Linked DNA regions of Tamandua tetradactyla. The protein of the gene in region 2 binds, or shares a complex with, the protein of the main gene of each other region. Links are inferred from orthologs where the notes say so. Each region holds a gene or a part of one and is shown on either strand. Other genes may lie near its edges. The genes, in order: HSF2BP and BRME1.

Region 1 (12,023 bases), on a different chromosome or scaffold from region 2:
TTGAGTAGATGGAAATACTAGTAGGCAATGAGAGGGAGGGGTAAGGGGTATGGCATGTATGAGTTTTTTCTTTTTTATTTCTTTTTCTGGAGTGATGCAAATGATCATGATGATGAATATGCAACTATGTGATGATATTGTGAATTACTGATTACATATGTAGAACGGAATGATCATAAGTTAAGAATGTTTCTTTGTTGTTATATCTTTAAAAAAAATTAATAAATTAATAAAAAAAGAAAGTAGATTAGAGGTTACAAGGTGCTAGGAGTGGAAAAAGAAAAGATAGACACTAAAGGACAAATACTGAATGATATCACTTAAATGAACTAACAAGAGCATGCAAATTCAAAGACAGAGAAGGTAGAGCCAGGGATAGGGTAGAGGTGGAGAATAGGGAGTTAATGCTGACTGGGTACAGAGTTTCTGCTTGTGGTAATGGAAAAGTTTTGGTAATGTTTGATGGTGATCGTGGCACAACATTGTGAATGTGACAAATGTCACTGAATTGCATACTTGAAAGTGGCTGATATGGGAAATTTTGTGTTGCATATGTGCTATAACAATAAAAGGATTTTTAAAAGTTATTTAAAAAAAAAAAAAAGAGGATGAGAGGAAATCAAGAGGGAGCCTAGCTTTCACTGAGCACCAACAGGCCCTGCTTCACCAACAATATCCCAGGTAAGCCTGAGTACACTAGAGCTATCCCCATTTCATAGGAAAAAGAAAAAAACAAAACAGAAACTGAGGATTACATGGATTAAAAAAAAAGGGAAGAACCAGAATTCAACTCTTCCTTCAAACCCCCACACCCTTCCCACAAAATGACAGTTTGAGCCAGAATCAAAGCTAAATTTGAGTATGAGCCAGAATCAAAGCTAAATTTGAGTATTTCTTTCATTATTTGTTCAAGTGGTTTATCCTGCCATCTGAGAAGGTACTATTTACTGAGAACTCACCATGAGCCAGGTCTTGAGCCAAATGCTTTACAAATACTATCTCATTTTAAACCTTGCCACATCCTAGGAGTTCAGCAATACTGTCCGCATGTTACAGACCAGGAAATGTATTGAGATGTTGTATTTGCAGTTAGTTCATTGAGCTAACACGTGCTACAGGAAACTTGTTGGTAAGCGAAAGGAGGGATTAAAGGGCACCGGGGTGGTTGAAGGACGTTTCTCTGCGAACTTTGTAGTTGGCTTGAGTCTTGAATCACACTTGTTTTTCTGGCCCAAAACAAGGCTTCCTGTGGCCCCTTTCCCCTAATTTTGGCTCTTGTGGGTTTACCACATTGGTGACTCAGATAAAAAAACGAGGAAAACAAACATTTCCCTCTTTTTCCTTCTATTAGACCTAGACTTGACAGCCCTCCCTGGGCCTTTTAGGAGCCTGTCTTTCTAGACCACCCCAGGAGCCATGCTCTGAGAATGGGTATTCCACAGAAAGAATCCACAGCTCACATGTGGCAGCAAGAGACGTTCGGCACGATGAGTTTTCTACACTTCCTCAGCCCTGTGGCCAGTACGCTTCTTGGATTTGACCAGTATCAAAACTGCTTTTGCTTCTTGAGGTTGGTGTGTGCCAGGTCCAGACCAGATTTGAGAAGTTTATTTTAGAGTGTTGATGTCCATCTATTTGGCTGGCCTGGATGGGCTCCAGCTATCAAGTAACTTATAAGATAGCCAGAAAATTTCAGTTGATATAATAAATACCAGGGAGTAACTGGGGCTTGATCTGACTCTAGCACAAATAATTACTTTTGGGAAACTTAGGCAAGATAGGTGATAGAATTTGGAGTAGTACCAATGAGGATATTGCCCAATATTCATTAGGGAATAAATGAACATCAAAGAGAGATGCATGGTTCATTAAAAAAACAAAAGAGAAGATGTTTTAGACTAGGGTGATGGCATGCATGCAAGCTGCAAATGGGAGTGAGGAAAACCTGATTGGGGATTGATAACCTCAGTTTTTGCTTGATCTGTGGAACAAGGATTAGGGTGTGACAGACTGCGGACTGTCAATGTGAGCTGTTTGTAGAGGACAGAATAATTACAGAATAGACATTTTTAAATTCCAGATGAGAAGCAATGGGAAGTTACCATATGGGAATGACATAAAACCAAGAGAGTACAAAGAAAGTATGGTGTCCTCCAGGACCAAATATTTAGCAAAGAGGCCTGCTCTGTGCTACACACATAGGCAAGCACAGGGGCCCCGCCTCAACTCCCCACCTAAAGGGTGCTAAGAAGTGAAGGGTAAACCAGCAATGGAACTGAGAAGGAATGGCCAGGAAGTGCACCAGTGGGAAAGAGGTGACACCATGGAGGGGCAGGTTGGGCAGCCGGCCAAGGTCTCCTCAGCTAACTATGAACAGGTTACCAGAGATTGCTTTGTGGTTCTCACTTTCACAAGCATCACAATTTGACGTGGGAAAGGACTGATCTCCAATAAACTGACTCATCATAACCAACATGAGACCCTCACATATTTTTCAGAATATCAATGTATTGATTTACAGTAAGAAATATAACCAACCGGCAGGCCGATATACTCTGCTCACTGGCCAGCAGTTTCCTTTCCCAAAGACAAACATGGATTGAAGAGGTATGCTCGGATGGTTGATGTGGTAAGCATGGCAACAGCACAAAGGCAGCTGAGAAGCCAAGGACTTGGAGCTGTGGAAACCAGTGAGACAGAGCACATCAGTCAGGGTGCCAGCATGAAGGAGAAATCAAAGAAAAAAAGAAAGATTAAAGTCCCAGATATCAAGGGACTTTAATGAAAAAACTTACTGAGGGAGAGCAGATAAAAGTCCCAAGAAGGGATGGTAAAAACAGCCCCACAACTGAAGGAGCAAGGGGAGAAAACAGTCCTGGAGGCCAGCGAGAGTTGGGACAAGAGAGGAGGTCACTGAGTGGTAGACACAGATGAGGAGGGATGAAACTATGCCAGAGGAGAGCAGCAATGCAGGGAGGGTGTGGGGGAGGAGATGCCCCCACCACTCTCTCCTCTCACTGATAGGTTTCACTGGCTGGCCCTCTGGCAGGCAGTAAGGGAGCCACAGAACACCTCAGTGCAGAGAAGGAGAGAAAGGATCCCAGGACTTCAAAGAGAATATAAACAGGGCATGACTACAGAAACTGTGAACAGTCTCTCTTCTAACTGGATATGACTGCCCCATTGACCAGATAGTTACACAAACCAGAAACTTACGTTCTTGAGTCTGGACCCAAGAACTTTCCTGCGTAACTTCCTGTCTGGACTAGTGCTAGCAACACTACCTCAGCCTCCTGGATGTACCTTTCTAAGGCCTCACAGCGATGGCTGTCAAATACAGTCTGGCCAATTAGCCTTAATCACTGAAGACAGACTTCATGGTAATGCAGCTTAATGAGGCAAGTGCTGAATCCATCCAGAGGACCTCCAGGCATCTGAACCAGCCCCTGCACTGGTGTCTGATACAATGGCTCAGCTCAGATCTCCAAAGTCTGATGAATAAGTCCCACCAAACCTGAAATGAAAGCAGTGCTAGAAACAAACCCATCTGTCAACCTAAAGAACCTAGGGAAGTGAACACACATTCAGCCACCTCTGCAGACACATTCAGCTCCAGGCAAGCTTTCCACCATGACAAGATCCTTCACTAACCCAAACGTGGACTTAATCTTCAGAGCAGACCTCTTTAATAATCAAAAGTATAAAATTCTCCCACCATGGAAGAGAATGAGAAGCTAGTAAGAGATACTCCAGAGAGCTGGCCACCCTCACACCAACTCACCCATGTCCAAGTAATTCATTCGAGGCCACCTGCCCTTTTTATGTCTTATCTGAATCCCCAATTTAATTATATAACCTATAACAGTATCTCAAAAATTATGTATCATTACTTTCTAACGAGGGACGCTGTATCTGCTGAAACATTGTTGGAGTCAATGGTGATCGTTAAAGATAGAAAAGACTCACTTTTTTCTACAATCTTTAATTTCTGGAAGCTTTCCAGTACCTCCCCATTTAGTATTCTGGGTAAGAAGTCCCGTATTTGCATCACTTCAGTTGTTAGACGTTCCAGGTCCTTCTTCCTGACTTTAACGAATTCTTCTTTAGTTTCCACGTGCTAAAAGAACAAGCAGATCTTATGATCATACCATTTCTCTTCAAATGACTAAAACTAGTGGCCCACTTCAGCTTACTTCCTTCTCTTTAATACCTCTGGTGCTACTGTTCCAGAAATTTATCTTTATAATATGCCTTCTGCTATATTACATGCTGAAGGTAGAAGCCCTGATCTTCAAAGTGAGAACCAGATATGAGAGAGGGGTAGGACAAGAGTCCTACTCCTAAAAGCCAAAGAAAATGCCAGTAACTTTCTAGTAACATTTTGGCACTAGGTTAATCAAGAGAAAATGGGAAATACTTCTGCTGGATTCCTACTAGACCTGTCAAGCCCTCTGCTGGACACCGTATTTAATACTCAGTGAAACCCTTCAGGACTTTCCAGAGCAGAACACCGAGGCATGGAAGGCCAGGTGACTCCCCAGCGTGGGACACTGGGGACCCGAGGGGTCAAAGCCAGCATTTACAGAGCCCCGACATCCAAACTCCAAGCACGTCCTCCTACATCACAGGAGGAAGCACTCTGTCATGTTTCAACCAGCGTCCAAGTCCTGGTCCGATGGAAACTGGGTTTTCAGACGCTGCGAGGGCCATTCACCTCACCCTCTCTGCCTCTCGCGCTCCCTCCAACTCCCCACACCCGCCCCACCGCAGCAGCGGCAGACATCACCTCGACCTCACGGCAGCCACACCACGTTCCCGCCCGCACCCGCCCGGCCCCCGCTGTCCGTGGAGAAGGCCCGAGGCCTCCCCGACCACGGAGCGGCTCCCGAGCGCCGTAGAGGTCCCCGGCCTCGTCACTGACCCGGCAGGCCTCCTCCGAGCCGCTCGCCTCGCCCATGGCCGCGCCGACCTCCCCGCAGTGCGCCTGCGCGGCGCCGTCTGCCGCCTTCCGCGGAAAACGCGGGAACGCGGCCGCGGCCGATGCTCGGTACGGACAGCCGTGAGGTTCAAATGTCGTGGCTTCTGCGCCGCATTTGAGAGGAGTGAGAGGAGTGAGCTTCTCCGGCTTAGCCCGGGCTATGAAGTTGCTAACTGCAGAGTAAAAGGAAAGTGAGACTTTGGTGTAAATATCAAGTCACCTAAAGTGAGCCGGTCCTTTCCTGCAGAGTGCGGAAGGCTATCAAGGGGCAACTGCCTGCCCGCAGCCTGCTTCCCGGGAAACCTCACCGCAGCAAACTGCGCACCTCCCGCTCTACTCCAACCCTTTCCTATTAAAGGTTTCACCTTTAGGACCCTTCGGGAGGGCTGCACACCATAGGAAGTTCTGCAGCCAGCTAAGTAAATGAAATAACAAAGATGAAAACCGTCAAATTGGACAAATAGCCTCGTCCGTTGACCTGCCCCAGTGCGCACCCTGGACTCGCAAAATTTGAGCTGGCCTGTGGTTTTGAAAGGTTCCCGGGGTTAGGACCATTCCCCTTTCTCCCCTCGCTTAGGCTAGCCAGAAGGCATTGTTCACAGTCCCGTTTAACTGTGGACGTTTTCCCAGGCTGGCTGGAGCAGGAATCAAGTCGAGACGTTTGCACAAAACCCGAAATTCCTGCCTTTGCGAGCAGGGAGAACAGGCGTGCGGGCACTGCTCGGGCCGGGTAGCCGCGGTACTGCTGGACGACAGACCGGCCTGCCCGCCCTCAGGGTCCTCCAAGGGCTGCCCCGGACGGGCTTGGTGCCGACACCCCCAGTGCGGGCCGCCGTGCCCCCCCTCACCTCTCCCTAGTGTCGCGCGCGGAGGCCCTACACTTAGGAGCTCGGCTGCACGGTGCCCCGTAGGTCGTGTGCTGAGCGTGTGGGGGGTTGGCTAAGTGGACCTAAGGAGTCCAGAAACTGAAAACTGACATCCGTCTCTTCCTGACGAAGACGCAGCCTTGGCTACCGCGCCGCCAACGGTCCTGAATTTTGGCGACCGAAAGGCGGCGAAGGCGCGAAGATGCGACGGCGCGGCGCACCCAGGAGGGGCGGTTCGCGCCGGAGGCCCTGACCAAAGCAGCGCGGGCTTCGGAACGCCCCCTACGAGGCCGCCGGCGCCTTTGTGACGCTATCAGCCCGCTGACGCTGACGCCGCCTCCTGCGCAGGCGCGGCGCGGGCCCGGCTTGGCGGCGACCGCGGCGTGAGGCTGAGCGACCGCGGGCTGGACTGCCCGGGATGCTCCGGCTGGCGCCATGGTCCCTGCGATGCAGCCCGCCGAGATCCAGTTCGCGCAGCGGCTGGCGTCCAACGAGAAGTGGATCCGGGAGCGGGCGGTGAAGAAGCTGCGCCAGTACATCAGCGTGAAGACGCAGAGGAAGACAGGTGGGCCCCCGGCGCTCAGCCACATGGCGGGCCGGAGCCGGCCGCGGCGGCCGGGAGGGCCGGGGACACGCCGAGCCCAGCAGGGAAAGGGGCTTCGAGCAGGGATTCGTGACTTCTTTCGTGGGCGTCCATGTGTCCAATCCATGTAACCGCCTTTTTACTGTATCCAGTCCTATGTTGATGTTACCGCTGAGCAGACAGGCCGGAAGTGGGTCACTGATTTACTGAAAGTCACATTCAGTAAACGGGGAGGCTGAGATGAAACCCGGGTCCGTCTGATTCCCATTCCCACGCCTGCACTTTCAGTCATTACATTCACCCGCTTTTATTTCGGCGTGCTCTTCGTTGATTGATTCATGCCAGCGTTTGGTCAACATGTTTAGGTGCTGGAAATACAAGAGAGGAGACAGACAGAATAGCTCCCCTCAAAGAACTCCTAGGAAAAAAGCTAGAGAAGGTGACAAATACAATAGAGCTTATATAAGTGTAGTGAGGAAAATGAAAATCACTTAACAGCGAGAAAAAAGGAGAGAAGCAACTCTTCTTCATTGGCTGTTTTCGGGGCCTCGCTGGGGTGATGTTCAAGTGAGGTCCAGAGGCAAGAGGAAGACAGCCCTGCAGAAAAGCAGGAGAGAACTTAGCATGCCCTAGACCTGTAAATGAGGAGGCTGGGGTGTCTTGAAATGAAGTTGGAAACACAGGCAGAGGGCAGATCGCATAGGGCTTTGTAGTTTGGATTTTAGCTGTAGTAGAGTGCCAGCGAAGGATTTCATTTACCAGATATAGAACATGTGCCTGTAAACCCTTGAGTGAGCTCAGAGTGTATGAACTTGTTCTTGAGTGAACATATAGGTGTGCACATGGTGCAATATGCTATAGTAAGATAAAGTTTGATTTAATCACTGCTAACGTTAATGCCTTTAACATCTGCTTGAAAGAGTAGCTATTATCTATCTCTTCACCACGTTCTTAGTTTCTTTTATTTTGAAGAGAAACACAGAAGACTACTCAGGAAAAATTGAATCGAATTTTAGTTCTGATAAACAGAAAGGGGAAAGAAGACCAAATTCTTAACTTCAGTTCTCTTAGCTTCTCTTACGGTTTCAGCTATCCTATATACACCTGAGGTTACAAAACCTAAATTTCTAGCCCATACCTTCCCTACTTGCAGCTCAGATAACCCCCACTAGCCTGACATCTCTGCCTGGATTTCCAACAGTCACCTAAGACTCAGAGTGCCCCAAACTGACTCATTTTATTCCCTCCAAAACCTGTTATTTTCTGTTGTTGCAGCTCTCCCTTGTCTGCCTGCGTTATTTTATTTTGGTTGCTAGTTCTCCACCATCGACTCAGACTCCTCACTTTTACTCATCCTCTCCCCCCAGCCTACATTGAATGTCCCTTGGTCCTACTTGTTTCACCTCCTAAATGACCACCCTGACCACAGGCCCACTTTATCTTACCTGGAGTCTTTGCGTACTTATTTATGTCCCTCTGCATCCCCATTGAATCCATCTCCACTAACCAGTTCAGGGTAATCTTTTTATTTATTTATTTATTTATTTTGCATGGGCAGTCACCAGTTTGGCAGGCAAGAACTCTGCCTGCTGAGCCACCATAGCCCACCAGGGTAATCTTAAAACAAATCTGATCCCTGTAGTACCCTCGAAATTCAGGGTCCCTTCTAGCTACACCTTGACCACTTCATGTTCTATCAACAACAATCTATTCTTGGTTCCTCATATGTGACACACCATTTCTCACCTCTTTGCCTTTTTTTAACACAGCAGAAAGCTCACCCCCTTTCTGCATTTGGCACTCAGTTCAGTATCACTTCCTCCAAAAAGCCTTTCCTAACACCCCTACTCCTTTATGATTCTAAAATACCCAGTGTATTGTGTATGGTCTCTGTTGTGGCACTTAGCTACATTGCCTTTTAACTATCTCTCAGCGTGTCATTCTTCCTCCAAAACACCGTGACCTTCCACTGTTTCCTTAGCTGAAAGTCAGATCACACCCAGCTGTACGAGGACCTGGCATGCTGTCCGTATTGCACCCTAGAATGGGTCTGAAATGGACCAGACAAACCCTGTTGCACAAACAGGCCTTTGGTCAGCAAGCCCAGGGTCTGCAAGATGCTAAAATGATGCAGGGTATGAGGCTAGTCGGTTTACCATTGCCCCAGGGTCCTGGCTTAGTACCCATCACAGCTAGAATTACTTGTGGTATACCTCTTGTTCTGCCCCCTAATCTATACTGCAGGGTGTATAGTGGGCCCTCAAAAAAACTCTGCAAAGTGAATATCGTAGGCACAGTGATAACGGGGCAGGAAAAAAAAAGTGCCACAGTTCCCCTCCATCAAAATAGAGACACAAGTTTAAAAATAAATTGACCTGATATTTGAATCTCATAGACAGACTCGCATTTTTTGCATCTTGTCCTAGGCAAGGTAAAGAAAATCTGAAATTTCGCTTATACTAGTACATGTAGCTGTTTATCAGCAGCAAAAATAGATAGCTTTGTGATTTCAGAAAGTAAATTAGGAATCCCTGTACTGCTTAAAGCAACCACACATTGCCCTAGTGCTTTAACTGTTTGTGCTGAGCATTTACAATAAAGGAATAATCATTGTTTAGTGAATAGTTTCCTAGCTGCTAAAATAAATACCATACAATGGGTTGATTTCAACAACAGGGATTTGTTGGCTTATGGCTTTGCGCCTACAAGAAGTCCAAAATCAAAGCACGAGCAAGGCGATGCTTTTTCCCTGAAGACTGGCATTCTGGGACTGGCTGTCAGTGATTCTTGGTCCTTGGCTTTTCATTTACATGGCAGTGCACATGGCAACATCTCCTTTCTGTTCTGGGTCCTGTGGGCTTACAGCTTCTGGCTCCTCCCCATGGCTGCTCTTTCTGTGTCCAATTGCCGTTGCTTGTAAGGACTTTAGGCATGTTGGATTAACACCCTCATTCGGTTTGGTCTCATCTAACTAATAATACCTCCAAAAGTCCTATTTACAAATGGGTTTACACACCTACGGGAACAGCAGTTGAGACCTAAGCATGCCTTTCATGGAGACAGGATTCAATCCCCCACAATTATATCCGTGGTTCTAGTTCATAAAGGCTCATTTGTCCAGGTTTAGTCATTCATGTATTCAGCAAATACTTTGGAGCACCTACTACGCACTGTTAGGCGTACTGTTCTGGCACCAGGTACGCAGCATTGAACAAAGCAAACAAAGCTTCCTGTCCCTACTTTATTGATTCTGCAACACTTTTTTACATGTAACAGCTCTAAAATTTGGATGCATCTTACAGTCTACCCTGTGATGGTTTCTTTTGCATCATTTTTTTCTTTTGTCGACCCATAAAATACAGTGCATCTTATAGGCAGTGATGTCTTGGGTTCAGTGGAGGAGACAATGTGGGAATAAGTGTTTTGTCATACCACTAGGGTTAGGATTATCCCTGACCAATAGTTATAGGAGGAGTCGTGGGTGTTTTGACAGAGGGCCATGTTAGCATGTAGCACTTCACCCCATTTAAAATTGCCCCTGTGCTCGTTTTGTGGTGAGAGTAGCTGTTGGGTTTCTTCATAAAAGCTTATTGGTATTTATTATCTCCACATTAGAATTGAAGCAGTAGCAGCAGTTCTCTGTTTTGCTTTAAATGCTTCAAAAATTGGTACCTTATTTTTACTGACTAAATTCCTGGGGAAAAGCAAATGACTTTTATACATATATTGAAAGCAACTGTTTTTAAAAGGAAAAAAAAAAGCTTCAATAGAATATGGGAAGAGAAACTGAAACAATTATTATATCCACCAATTGAACAGTGCTTTACTCATACACAGTGCTTCTCATGCATGCTCTTAATTTTGACCCTGCCCATATCCATTACGTATGTTGTACTTGCGGAAATTGAGGCCCAGAGGTTAGCTAATTGCTTTCTAAGACTGCACAGCTAGTAAACAGCCTGACCACAGGCTTGTTTCCACTGAGGAAACCTTCAGGGCCAACCCCCTTTCCGGCCCATTGTTTAGGATCTAGTGTCACTTTGCTACTTTTTCAAAATCAGTAATTTTCTGTTACAAAAACCTAGTGGTGGCCCCTTGTGGTAGTTAGGTTCAGATGTCAACTTGGGCAGATGAAGTTGCCTAGTTCTGTTGCTGTGGGCATGGGCTGACGGCATGTGGCTCTGTCGCTGATTACATCTGCAGTTGGCTAGGAGGCATGCCTGCTGCAGTGAATGATGTTTGATTTAACTGGCTGGTGCTTAAATGAGAGACTCAACATAGCACATCCCAAGCAGCTCAGCATACCCCATCTCAGCACTCGCAGCTCAGCCCAGGCCTTTGGAGATGCAGAAAAAGTTGTTGGAACACAGAGGCCTGGAGAGAAGGCCAGCAGAGATCACCCTGTGCCTTTCTTCCCGTGTAAGAAAGAACTTCAGTTGAAAGTTAGCTGCCTTTCCTCTGAAGAACTTACATTTTTAACTAAATAAATCCCCTTTTATTAAAAGCCAGTCCATCTCTGGTATGTTGCATTCTGGCAGCTTTGGTAGATTTGGTACCAGAGAAGTGGGGTTCTGCTGCAGTTTGCAAATACCAGTCACATTGGATCCGTTTTTTTGAATGGAAAAGGGGAAGATTTTGGAGGAACTATGAGGAAAATGATGGAGACATCCTGGAGTGCTTGAAGAGACTGTTGGTGTAAACGGAATCACTGCCAATCTGGACAAAGGGGAACACAAAAGGGACGAATTGGAGTTTGCAGAGTGAGAACCATGGAAGTTCAGATCTGAAGCCAAGAAACCTCAGGCCATGAGAGTGGACCCACCCATGTACATGGAGAGGGTGAGTTTGCCCTGAAAGGCAAGGATGAGTCTCCCACCTCATTGCAGTGGAAGAGTCGTGCACCCTCAGGCCTTGGAGAAAGTGCAGCACGCTCCTTGGGGACTCGGGAGAGCCTAGCTGCCACCATGTGGAGGGGTTGAGTATGTGCCCTTGGAATTGGCAGAGAGCCCAGATGTGGCCCCAGTACTCGTAGAGTGTGGAGCCAAGAAAAAGATGGTCTTCTCAATGTTCCCTGAGGTTGATTCAGAAAGAGGCAGCCCGCTGCATAGGCCCTTGGAAAGGGTGAGCCTGCCACTTTCTAAGCCGAAGGATAAATGACTTTTAGACTTTGAAATTCAGTGGAGTTAGCCTTGCAGGTTTTCAGAACTATTTGGGTCTTGTGACATCTGTGTTCCTTCCAATTTCTCCCTATGGAAATGAAAATGTATCCTGTGACTATCCCTCCTTTGCATATTGGCACCAAAATAACTTGTTTTGAGATTCATAGGTCCACAGCCAGAAGAGAAATTTTGGCACCTTAATATCATTTAAGGTGATGTGTATAGTTGCCAAGTTGACAAGGGGTGAACATGTGGTAGTTAGATTCAGGTATCAACTTGGCCAGGTGAAGGTGCCTAGTCCTATTGCTGTGGACATGAGCCAATGGCATGTGAACCTCATCTGTTGCTCATTACATCTGCAGTTGGCTAGGAGGCGTGTCTGCTGCAGAGAATGACGTTTGACTTATTTGGCTGGTGCTTAAATAAGAGAGCTCAAC
Region 2 (12,665 bases):
AATTTCCACGATGTAAACACTCCTATATGACATTTCACGCTACCAGCGGTTTCAGCAAACTTGTGAAATTCCTGCATCAGTAGCAATTAGCTCCCTACGCCTGCAGGATGTGAAGGAACAGCACCTGCGAGGGCTCAGAGGCTAGAGGGGTAGGGGTCAGGGGCAGGGCCTACCTGGGGGCACAGGCAGCTCAGTCACGTCCACAGCTCGGCCGGCCTTGTGGGCTCGGATGGCGTCTTGGTATTGCTGCAAGGGGACGCAGGCATTGAGACTGGCTGGGCGAGGTCTCGGGGGCCACCCCCCAAACCTTCCCTACCCAGGGGCCCCCACACACCTTGACAATGCGCTCGTGCATGCGAGCCTTCCGCTGGTCCCCTTTGGTCTTGGCCTGCGCAGCAGCCACATGGTACCTCTCCATTCGCTGCTCCAGTGCCTCCAGAAGGTTCCGTGGGGGTGGGGGCACCTCTAGGCCGGGTGCGGAGGGGGAAGGGTTAATAGTCTAGGGGACGGGAAGACAGTTTTGTCCCAGCCTGAGCCCCACCCCCGCAGAGGGTCCCAGGAGCTCACCTGGTGCAGAGGGCGCTGTGGTGGGGGTTGGAGGCTGGGGAGGCAATGGAGAGGGTGGGTCTGCGGGCAGCTGGTCTGGGGACAAAGAGGGCTTGCTTGGGTCCCTCCACACCAGGCTGGGCTGGCCTGGGAGGGTCCCCAGGCCTGATCATGGGGATGGCAGCACCCAGAAGAACTTCCTGGAGGATGGGTGGAGGTTGGGGGACCCTCACCAGGAGGGGGTGGCACACGGGACAGGTCCACAGGATCCCCCCTGCTCAAGGCCTCCAAAATGGCATCTAAGCTCTGGGAGAAGAAAGGAGACGATTAGGGGAGGAGACTGCTTGGGGAACCCCCCCACATCCTGCCATTCGAAAGAAGAGTCCCTTCCTTTATACCATCATTGCTTACGCCCATTTCACAGAGGGGATAAACTGAATTCCCAAGGGGAATAGCAAAACCAGAGCTGGGAAGTGACCCAGCTGGGGTTCAAACTTGGGCCTGCCTCTGTTTGCAAGGATTATCAGGACCCTCCATCCCCATCCTCTCCCTCCAACCCTGTCAGTCTGAGCGCACCTTGGCCACCCGGAAGTGCCTGGTGGCAGTGGCAGTGTCCCCCTGCTGCTTGGCATGGAGGGCGGCCAGCTTGTACTCGCGCTGCCGGCTCTGCAACTGGGCCAGGGTACTGGGGCTGCCGGTACCTAGATGGGGCGCAATGCATGGGGGGCTGCCAGGGCTGGGCCGACTTCTCTGTACAAACCACTGATATTTTATCCTTACAACAAGGACCGTTCTTAGTCCCATTTTATAGGTGAGACAACTGAGGCTCAGAGAGGGGATGCTATTTCCCAAGGTCACACAGCCTGGAAGTGGAAGGGCTGGGACTGAACTTCAGGCCCAGCACGCTCCAGAACCATTCCTATTCCCCAAGAGAATTCTGGAAAACTTTATGTAGCCTTATGCGTTGTTATGTTAATGTCTGAAATTTTTTATCTTTTAAATATAAAGTGCAGCAAAAGTCTCACATATGTTGACATTCGGGAAATAAAACTGTTCCCGCACTCTTAAAAATCTAATGGGCCTTAACACTTATGGAGATTTGAAATTCACAAACATTCGTTTTTAAACTATATCCATGGGCTCATATTTAGCAGGGAATTTCACAGCTTTTTCTCCTTGAACTCTTATTTCCATCCATGTCCTAATGCAATATATTTATATTCTTGAGTCTTTTTTTGTCCACCCTCTCATACATTTGTGTAGCGAAAATACATTTATGCAGTGTGGCTACAAAGTTGGGAAACATAGATTAACTGATTTTTAAACAGTATGTTAGTTATGTTTTCAAATAATATGCTCAATATGTTTTTTGGGGGGAAATTTCCCTACAATCAAAGCCAAACGGTACAATTGTGGATATATAAAAAAAGTGCAATAATTATACCAATGCGTGTCCACAAAACCTGCAAACGCCAGGAAAACAAGGTAAACATTATACTTTTTCAGATTAACAACTGGGCCCCGTGATTTAAATTTAGACATGCTTCTCCTGAAAAGGCATTTAGCAGTTGAAGAAAACCTTGACACTTCACTGGTGGCACTGTCTGTGACTGTAAGTCTCTCAGTGCTAAAAAAAAAAAAAAAAAATTCACACAGATACTTGTAGATGCTAATCCACAATCACCAAAAGGTGGAAACAACTTGTGTGTCTATTGACAGATGAATGGAAAAAGCAAATATGGTCCATCCACACTGCAGAATATTATTCAGCCATAAAAAGGAATGAAGTTCTAATCCACACTATAAGATGGGTGAACCTCGAAAGCATTATCCTAGGTGAGAGGAGCTAGACACAAAAGGACAAATATTCTGAGTCCACGTACACGAAATACATAGAATAAACAAATTCATTGAGACGGAGAGTAGATTAGAGGTTACCAAGGGCTGGTGGTGGGGGGCAAAGGGGAAGGGGAGGTTGTTGCTTAATGGGTAAAATTTTCTGTTTGGGGGGGATGAAAAAGTTTTGATAACATGACGGTGATGATAGCACAACATCGCGAGTGTAGTTAGCACCACTGAAGTGCATACTCAGAAATATTTAAAATGGCAAATTTTATGTGATGCATATGTCACCACAAGAAAGTTAAAAAAAAATTGTTTTTTCTCCTTGGTTGAATTATTGTTACAATTATTACCAGCATGTAAATGGGATCAGAACCCAAATCCATCAGGCTTTTCGCCAAATAATTTTTATGCAATGGTAAAATTTTCCTGGAACAGCACCTCTTGCTGTCATTTTGGGGCGGGGTCCTCTTCCTACCAATTAATCCACATTTCCCCATTCATTCTTTCCCTACTTTTCTTTGGTCTTTTTTGAATGTACTGAGAAAACAGCTCATACCAACAAGTGTATGGAACTGGGTAGAGTCTCATTACCGTAACAGCACGTGATTCTTTGAACTCCAGCCAAACGATATGCCACAGACCCCACTGTGAAAAGTCTGCGGTGATTTTAGCGGAGAATTTCAGGGGATGGGATTCTGAGAAGCCACCTTGAACTTTGCCAAAAACAACAGCTCTGAAGCCAGCCCAGCTGGAGGAGAGTTTTGTCACCCAAGTTAACTCTGTCCCCAACCTGGGAGAAGATTTCAGAAGGGAGGCAGGCCTTCCATTCCTTTAAAATGGGAGGTGGGGGACTGGGAAAGAAAACCTTTCAGGAGGTGTATTCTCCAGGAGCTGAGCTTCAGGGTAGAAGACAGAGAAGCTGAGGGCTTAGGAATTCTTCATTTAAAACTCTGTGCGAAAGATGTTATTGGGATATGTGATACAATTGGTGTATAGACAGTAAACTTTACATCAACGTTAAATTTCTTGAATTTGACAACTGCATTAAAGGGGTTCCATAAGTGAATATCCTTGTTCTTAGAAACTGTACATGGCAATATTATGTGTTCAGGGATCATGATAAATAGACAGACGATGGATATATGGATGGATGGACAGACAGACCGACAGGCAGACAGCTAGCTTGCTAAAATGATGTGGCAAACTGTTAGAAATTGGTGGATCTGAGACTCTAGGTGAAGAGTGGGTTGGAGTTCTTGGTTTTGGTTTTGTATTATTTTCCAATTGTCCTGCAAGTTTGAAATTATTTCCAAATAAACACTTTTAAAAAACAAACAAACTCTCTGCATGCCTCTAAGCCCCTTGGAAAGCCTTCTTCAACTTCAGGGGCCCGGAGACCCAGGAGGTGTTCAAAATATTTCACAATCCATCCATGCCCCCAGACCTACCTGGGAGCAGCTGGGGCTTAGCCGGGGCACCCGGGAACGAGGCCGGGACTGTGGAAGGAGGTCCCGTCATGGTCACCCTAGGCTCTGGGCCTGGTGGGTTTGTCGAGACTGGCTGGGTGGGCGCAGGGGTGGGGGCAGGCATGACCGTTGGACCCTTCCCCACAGCCACAGGTGGTGGGATGTCCTCTTCGTTGATGGTACTGCCCCTTCGGACGGAGGCCAGCAGGTTTTCAAGAGTCTGGAAGGAAGCATGAGCATGGGGGTTTCAGAAAAGCTGGAGCTGGGCTGCCCACCGGGGGTGGTGGTCGGGTCCCCGGCACCCACCTCCCCACTTCCTTACCTTGAGTCCCCGGTCGTAGCGCCGCATCTTTGTGCCATCCCCAGCTTGCCTAGCGCTTTCTATCGCAGTCTGGTAGAGGGCCAGCCTCTCCTGCAGGGTGGCTTCCACCCCTGGGCAGGGAGCTGGGGGCTTTGGCTGCAGGAATGAAGGGGATCCAGGCTGGAATGGGGACTCCACTCCATGTGGCCCTCGTGGTGGGCCCAATGCCCATGTGGGATTTTGGTCCCTGTGCCACTTCCCCTACCTCAGCAGTGGAGTAGTCACAACCCTGTTTCCTGGTGGAGGGGACTGAGGTCCCATGGCCAGGGTGGGGGGACAAGGGTGAGCCCTGAACCTCAGGCTATCTGTAGGACTCTGGTTCAAGGGAGCAGGGTCAACGGACAGGTACCTGAGCCAAAGGTGGCTGGGACTCCAGAACCTTCTGTTCTTCTCCAAGAACCTCAGTGAGTTCCGCCTGGAGGGACACACGGTCAGGGAAGCAGATGCGCTGGTGTGGGGGGCACAGGGAAAAGGAGCCCCTACCCGCCTCAGCTTGCCCTGGCCCCTCACCAGCAGCTCATCATCAGCTTCCACATCGTCCTCATCTGTCTCTTCTTCCTCCTCATCCAGGTCTTGCATGCACAGGCCGGCCATTTTCTCAATGGTTTCCATGGGCAGTGGCCCTGGTGGTAGGGGGAGGCTGAGGCTGGACCCAGGATCCGCTCCCTGCACTGCCAACCTCTTGGGCTTCATCTCTTACTCATAAAACCTCAGTTTGGGGGCCAGGTGACCCGAGTGCAAAACCTGCTCGGCAGCATCCGGGCTGTGTGAGCTTGCGCAAGTGGTTTCACTTGTCTGGGCCTCCGTTTCCCCATTCATTAGATGGGGTCGTAACCATCCTTCTCTCCCAGGTATCTTTTGGGAACTAAAGGCAAATAAGCTCTTAGAACGGTGAGTGGTAATATTGTCAGCATTTTCTATTAGCGAAAGAGTTTAAAGGCTCTGTGTGTCCTCTGGGCTCTAACCCCAAGTAATGGCAGCAGCATCCCCAGAATTCCCGGCCCCCGGCCTTGGCCATGACCCCTCCTAACCATCCCGATTGTGGGTCCCTACCTGGGAATCTGGCCCCGACTTGGAGGTCTTGCCAGGCCCTGCATGAAATGCTTTCCCAACACTTGGGAGCTAAGCATTGTGAAATGTGGTTACCGTCCCCATTTTACATACAGCAAAACCGAGGCCCACACTGGTGTCGTGACTCGTCAGGTCACACAGCCAGTAAGCGGTAGAGCTGGAAGGTGAACCCTGAGTCTGGGTCCTGTGTTGTCACATTAACCTCTTACCCAGACCACCGGCTCTAGGAGGGCAGGGGTCTTCTCTGGTCTTCCTTCCCCCCATCTCCCCGGTACCGGGCTCCAAGTCCAACACACAGCAGGAGCTCAGAAAACACTCAGGGGGTGTGCATGCGTGTGTTAGTGTGGAAAATGCAAGCACTCACCTTTGCCCTTGAGCTTCTCCAGGCCTGGAGGCTGGCCCCCCACCAAGGCCAAAAACTCGGCCTCCAATTCCTTATCATTAACTTCATCTTCGGGAATCATCAAGCCCTCTGGGGAGAAGTCGACCAGCAGGCCCAGCTGTGGGAACAGCGAGGGGCCTGTCAGTTCTTGCGAAGGACCCCATTTTTCCAGAGGCAGCCAAGACGAGCCCACAGTCCCCATGTGACCCATGATACCCTACAAGCCAAGATCAATGGGACAAGCAGGCCCTACCCGCTGCCCAGAGCAGAACCACTCTGCATGCCAGGGGGCTTTTCCTTCTAGAATCTTCAGAACAGGGGGTTGGAAGGTCTGAGGCATCAATGGTAATTAGAAGCCTTCGGGACAACATTGAAGTCAAAAGTAGGGGCTGTGCTGGGAAACAAACTTGCTTTTCTATCCTGGTTAGTAACGAGTTGTGACATGATAATATCAGAACTATACGAACCTGCCCCTTCTATGTAGGTCAAAATGGTGGACAATCAGCAGCGGTGTAAAAGCACCACGTATTAGTGACAACGGTAATGTCTGTTCAGTGCTATGTTCTAGCACTTTCCAGAAGTTATCTCAAGGAAACTTGGTGTTACTAGGATGCTTAGGATCTCTCTTTTACAGATGAGGTAACTGAGGCACAAAGCTGTGAAGGCACGTGTCCAATGTGCAGGTGCGGGAGGGAAATTTTAGGCCTACCAGACTAAGGCCTGGTCACTGAACCATGCCCTGGGCTCCCTCCATCAAAGCTGAGAAAAGCTGAACGCCTGGGTGCTGGGTGTCTGGGGTACAGGAGCTAAGGGAGGGGAGAGGTTCAGCCACAGTCCTGGGGAGCTCGAGGAAAGCAGCTTTCCATTTGTATTTCTGGTCAAGCAGTTAATCCCTATGACCTTGGGCAGGTGTCTTCATCTCTATTTTGTCACCTGGTCAGAGATCAGGACTGGTGAGATTTTATGACTGTGCAGATGGGGAACTCTGGGCCTGGCCTTAGCGACCTAGAGCTGCTGCGGCAACAGGTGGCCCCGAGCCCGGAACGAGACGGCAGGAGCTGGGGGGGCCGGGCCCTGGAGGCCGCACTGTGAAAGGCCAGGGGTGAGCGGCCTCCCCTGGTGGGGGCGGGGGGGCCGGGGACCGGGTCTCACCTGGAGGGCGGGGATCAGCGCCCCTGGTGGGTGGGGCCCCCCCCAAGCGTGTGATAGGGGTAGGGAAGGTGCATCGGGCGGGACCGAGGGGGCACTAACTCACCTGGCGGGCGGCGGCGGCGCCTCGGCCCGGAGGTCCTGGGGGTCCCTTCCTCTTGTGCATCGTCTAGGCTGGATCCCCAGACCACCGGCGCCGGCTCCCGGCCTTGCCCTGCCTCCTCACCGCCCCCCCCACGCGCCGGGGCCTGTTCCCGCGCACGCGCTCTTCACGGGAGACGCGGGTCCCCTCTCTCAGCGCCCCGCGCCCTCGCTCTCGCCCCCCGGGGTGACCGCCCCACTTCCGCCTCGGCCCTTGGGAAGCCGTCACCGCAAGGGAGCGCGGCCACTAAACTCGCCAGGTCCGCCGCCCGAACTACAACTCCCGACAGACAGCGCGCAGGAGCGCATGCGCAGAGCGGGAAGGCGGGTGAAATCGTGGGTGGCGCGGGGAAAGAGGCGGAACGTGAGGGTGGGGGCTGTGTCGCGCATGCGCATTGCCTGCCTTGGCGCTGCGCGGGAAAGAGGCGGAGCGTGTGCAGGTGTGAGAGGCGGTGGCGGCTGCGCGGTTGTCGGCTTCCCTTCGCCACCTGCGGGCGCCGGTCCCACCTGGGTGGCCGGGCCTGAGGAGTCCTCATGTTTCAGGGTCCGGTGTAGGGTTAATGCGGGTCTAGTGGCCGAAAAACGGGGTTCCACAGCGCCAGGCCTCAGGCCTCCCGTCCCGTCAGTCCTCGACCTCCATTCCTTCAACTCCTTACAAGCATTAGTTTTGTCTTTTTTTCTCAAAATAATTTAATGCACATAATTTGACTGATTTTACCCTAACAGATCCAGGAAGCGCTAGTTGCTGCCAAGTTCAGAGGGACCTCCACAATTTCTCTGGCCTAGGTGGGTTTTGGCTAACCGGGACTCGAGGCTGAAAGAAATGGGTCCGTGGGTCACTGCTGCTCCTCCAAGGGCCCAAGCCTTCCCTAAAGACATCTAAGAGCCCCCTTAAAAGTCCCAGGTGTTCAAGTAAAGGGACCCCCGGTGGCTCCTGGAATGGCTCTAGGTACCCCAGCAGGAACTCAGGGCTCGGCACAGGCTGTTGCAGCCCGGGGAACTAGAGGAGGGTTTCCCACAGAGGACCACCTATGCCCACATGCTGCCCAGACTCACCTGGGTCAGTGGACATAAGGTGGGCAGTCCCACTGCAACGTGGAGGTTTTTACCTGGCGTTTGGCTAAGGTGGCAGATCTTGTGCCATGGACAAAGACTGTGACCCCCACCTTGTATCCTATTGGGTCCCATGAACCCCTTGGGGCAGCTGGACAGCCCAGTGGGGTGGGGCTGGTATCTGCTCTTGGAACCACTGACTCAGATTGTTATAATGGAAGGTCTTTGCTTGTTGTCTTCAGGTTTCTCAAGGGAAAGCTGAGATGAGTAAAAGGAAGAAGCTTCGAACCTCAGGTATTTGTCCAGGTTGACACTGCTTTTTTGCTGCTTCTGCATATAGGGGGGATATGCAGAAATGCAAATGGGACCACTCCAGGTTCCTTAAAAGAAAAATGACTTAATACATGCTAATAGGAAAAAGATACAGATTTTGAAGGAGTATGTAAAATGAAATGTGACAGCTTTTTGGAGTCTGTAGGCTTTGGGGGAGGGGTACAGCAGTCTTGGAACCTAGTGCCAGAGATGTCCCCCAAATTAGAGCTTGATGGGCTAAAATGCAAGCCAGTCCATTTTGTGGCCAGTTGCTTCACTCGGGAACCACACACACTGGTTTCATAAACCTGGCTCACTCACTTTGTGATGGAGAATGAGTTCCTCTGTGCCTTGGGGAAAAATACTGTGGCAAAATAGGCATAACATTTCCTTTCCTATAAATCAGGTATAGTAAGCGCACCTACCCTTTCTGTTTATAGCAGAAGAAAATCTCATCTCCAAGGATTTAGCCAAAGGTGAGTATAGTGAGACTTTACTAGTTGCTTCCGCAGCATTTATGCTTCTGCCAAACCAGTTGTCCCCACATCTACCACAAGCCAGAGCAGAAACTGTTTGCTTTAAGAAACCGCATATCCCCTGTCCCTTGGCCATAGCAATCAGTGGCAGCAGTGATTCTCGGCCAGGGCAGTTTTGTCCCCCCAGAGGACAGTCAGCAATGTCTGGAGATATTTTTGGTCATCGCTGCTGGTGGGGGGAAGGTGCTGCTGGCGTCAAGGCCAGGGATGCTGCCAACAGCCTATAACTATAGCACAGGATGGCCCCTACCCCAAAGAATGATCCGGCTGCAGATGCCAAGAGTGCTGAGGCTCAGAAACCCTGCCATAGAGCTGTTGTGCAGATTAAATGAGTGCGTATTTTAAAGCACTGAGAACAGACCACAGGTAGTACCTAAATATGTGCTATTAATATGTCTTGCCTGACTTTTTTCTTACTGTCACAAAATAGATATAATGTAAAATTTGCCATTTTAGAAGCCATTTTTTTCTTCAGTTTTTTTCTTTTTAAATTTTTAAAAAATATGTAACAAATACAAACATTCTTTTTTTTACAAACATTCTTAATATATGATCATTCTGTTCTACATATGTAGTTAATAATTCACAATATTATCACATAGTTGCATATTCATCATCATGATCATTTCTTAGAACATTTGCATCAATTCAGAAAAAGAAATAAAAAGACAACAGAAAAAAATTCATCCATACTATACCCCTTACCCCTCCCTTTCACTGATCACTAGCATTTCAATCTAAATTTATTTTAACATTTGTTCCTCCTATTATTTATTTTTATTCCATTTGTTTTACTTGTCTGTTGATAAAGTAGATAAAAGGAGCATCAGACACAAGGTTTTCACAATCACAACAGTCACATTGTGAAAGCTATATCATTATACAATCATTTTAAGACACATGGCTACTGGAACACACCTCTGCATTTTCAGGCAGTTCCCTCCAGCCTCTCCATTACATCTTGACTAACAAGGTGATATCTGTTTAATGTGTAAGAATAACCTCCAGGATAACCTGTGGAATCTCTCAGCCATTGACACTTTATTTTGTCTCGTTTCACTCTTCCCCCTTTTGGTCGAGAAGGTTTTCTCAATCCCTTGATGCTGAGCCCCAGCTTATGCTAGGATTTCTGCCCCACGTTGGCAGAAAGGTCCACACCCCTGGGAGTCATGTCCCATGTAGACAGGGGGACGGTGGTGAGTTTGCTTGTTGTGTTGGCTGAAGAGAGAGAGGCCACATCTGAGCAACAAAAGAGGTTTTCTTGGGGTTGACTCTTAGGGCTAATTTTAAGTAGGCTTAGCCTATCTTTTGTGGGGTTAAATTTCATATGAACAAACCCCAAGACTGGGGACTCGGCCTGTTGCTTTAGTTGTCCCCATTGTTAGAAACCATTTTTAAGTGTACAATTCAATAATGTTAATTAATTACATCACAGTGTTGCACAACCATCACACCTATATGTGTCCCAAAGTTTTTCGTCATCCAAAACAGAATCTCTGCACCCATTGAGCAAAAACTCCCCATTTCCCCTCCCCCCACCCACGCCCTGGTAACTTCTGATTTCCTTCCTGTCTCTATGAATTTATGTATTCTAGGTCTGTCAGAGAAGTGGAGTTGTACATTCTTTGTCCTTTTGTGTCTGGCTTATTTCACCCAACATGATATCTTCAAGGTGCATTTGTATTGTAGCATGTGTCAGAGCTTCATTCCTTTTTATGGTTGAATAATAATCTGTTATACAAATATAACACATGTTGTTAATTTTTCAGTGGCCACTTGGGTTATTTCTACCTTTTGACTATCATGAATAATGCTGCTATGAACTTCTGTGTACAAATATCTGTCTGAGTACCTGGTTTCAATCCTTTGGGGTATATACGTAGGAGGGGGATTCCCAGGTCATCTCGTCATTCTGTGTTTAACTTTTTGAGGACCTGCCAGATTGTTTTCCATAGGAGCCACACCGTTTTACATTCCCACCTACTGTGTACTAGGGTTCCAATTCAGATATTTAAAAAACTTATCTTAAAATAATTTTAGACTTACAGAAAAATTACAAAAATAGTTCAGAGAGTTCTGTCTACCTTCCCCCAACTTTCCCTAATCATAATATCTAGTGCAGTTGCAGTAGAACAGACACACACACAAAGGTGATGAAAAAGTTTGGGTAATGGATATTGGTGAAGGTAATACAATTTTGTGAATGTAATTAGTATTGCTGACTTGTACACTTGAAAGTGGTTAAAATGGGAAATTTTGAGTTGTATGTATCTTACTACAATAAGAATTTTTTTTAAAGAGAAAAAAAAAGGAGATTAATCTCAGTATAATACTTCTCCAGGCTTTTTCTGTGTATTTGTACAAGTTTACAGTGGTTGTAAATGCACAGTAGAATCATCATGCAAACTGGTCTACAACTTCAGTTCTTCGCTTAACACAGCGCAGTGTGACTGTCTTTCTTTGTGTGTGTATGTATATAGATAAAATATATGTGATTCTGGAGCAGCTAGAAGGAAAAATATCTGAGATGATGGAATGGTAGCCCATGGCAAACTCTGGGATCTGTCCTGTAACTGCTTATTGAAGAGTGCTTTGAAAACTATTGCTTTTTTCTTGCTTGCTTTATATATATGTTATATTATACATTAAAAATATATCTATATCTATCTATATATCTATATAAATTAATTCATAAATAAATATATATATATATAGAGAGAATTTCTTCATTAGGCAAAAACAACAACAAACACCTAACATTACATGGATTCTATTTCCCTGTCATTTTTTAAAGTAATTTAAACTTCTCAAAAATTTAGAAATGACTCCTGCACTTAGAAACAAATTTAGGAGGAGAGCTTGTTTTTCTCAAGATATAATATAGAAAAAAAAATTATCAACATATTGAAAACGGTTTGTGCAAACAGATGAACAACAGCCTGCTTAGAGGTTCAAGGATTTCTCTGACCCTGGAGGGGAAGCTGGGGACAGCAGGCCACCCAGGCAGGTTATTTGGGGCCTCCCTTGGCAGCAGACTCCCCAGCTCAGTGGACGCCTGTGCTGGCCCACAACATCTGTTCTTGTGTGTTCCTGGAAGGGATGAAGAAGAAGAAAGAAGATTCTGGCAGATGGTGAAAGAGGTCATTTCCTGCCCACTGTCCTTGGCCTTTGGTGTTGAACCCAGGGTTCTGTCTTGAAAACCACTTTCTCTTAAACTGGTCCTGAGGGGATGGGTCACAGGAAGGAAATGGGAGGCTCTTCACGTCTGTTGATATTTTTTTCTTTTTATCTGGTACAAATGTCCATTGGCGCAACAAAGAGAGCTAGTGTTTATAAAGCTTAAGAAGCCAAATAAACGAAGCTGCTATAGTGTGCCCTTTCCAGCAAGCTGCAAGGTGAGGATGTGTTTGTGTAAGAAACATTCGGCAGAGCTTTTTTGGGGGTGCAGCTCTTGGGGAGACGCCTGGTGGAGGGAAGCAGGGGGAGGGTGAGAGAAAGGATGTGGCAGACTCAGACTCAGTTCCTGCCCTCGAGACCCCTCGTGGTCTACTTGAGGTGGGGGAGAAAATGCTCCTCTTCGAGAGCTCCTCAGGTACACAGCAATGGGATACAGTTCTAAATGGGAACATGTGAACCGTAACTGACAGAAGAAATGGGAGGAAAGTTGCTATGCCCTCATGAAGTACGAACATCTGAGTTAAAACTGAGGCAAAACTAACGGCGTTGGAGGTGCTCGTTCAGTTGGATTTACTTCAAGATGTGGATTGTGGATAGAATTGCATCCCCTAAAAGACATGTTCCAG

Evidence for each region.
Region 1: the proteins of BRME1 (region 2) and HSF2BP are in contact, whole or in part, in a crystal structure (PDB 7Z8Z), measured with the Mus musculus proteins. The link is inferred for Tamandua tetradactyla from reciprocal best matches to the Homo sapiens genes BRME1 and HSF2BP. Residues at the interface, in NP_083321.2 of Mus musculus: Met541, Gln542, Asp543, Ala544, Thr545, Val548, Arg549, Leu551, Val552, Leu555, Ser556, Asn559, Ile562, Met563, Thr565, His566, Leu569, Lys573; in NP_083178.1 of Mus musculus: Glu23, Phe24, Val25, Lys26, Val27, Arg28, Asp31, Leu32, Arg34, Leu35, Glu38, Val39, Gln41, Ile42, Phe45, Leu46, Arg48, Ile49, Glu53, Leu54.

What each region holds. Positions count from the first base shown.
Region 1 is NC_135336.1:101,249,601-101,261,623, forward strand, and holds the start of HSF2BP (heat shock factor 2-binding protein), read right to left. Parts: upstream 6,113-12,023; 5' UTR 5,956-6,112; exon of another isoform or gene 5,827-5,955; intron 5,152-5,826; 5' UTR 4,958-5,151; coding exon 4,922-4,957; intron 4,577-4,921; exon of another isoform or gene 4,418-4,576; intron 4,118-4,417; coding exon 3,967-4,117; intron 1-3,966. Other genes in the region: RRP1B (ribosomal RNA processing protein 1 homolog B), read left to right, coding at 6,280-6,409. UniProt on the Homo sapiens protein: Meiotic recombination factor component of recombination bridges involved in meiotic double-strand break repair.
Region 2 is NC_135337.1:88,885,435-88,898,099, forward strand, and holds the start of BRME1 (break repair meiotic recombinase recruitment factor 1), read left to right. Parts: upstream 1-7,362; 5' UTR 7,363-7,401; intron 7,402-7,407; exon of another isoform or gene 7,408-7,582; intron 7,583-7,687; 5' UTR 7,688-7,747; intron 7,748-8,256; 5' UTR 8,257-8,277; coding exon 8,278-8,308; intron 8,309-8,766; coding exon 8,767-8,802; intron 8,803-12,665. Other genes in the region: CC2D1A (coiled-coil and C2 domain-containing protein 1A), read right to left, coding at 174-246, 335-465, 568-642, 780-852, 1,123-1,247, 3,840-4,077, 4,180-4,314, 4,568-4,633 and 3 more. UniProt on the Homo sapiens protein: Meiotic recombination factor component of recombination bridges involved in meiotic double-strand break repair.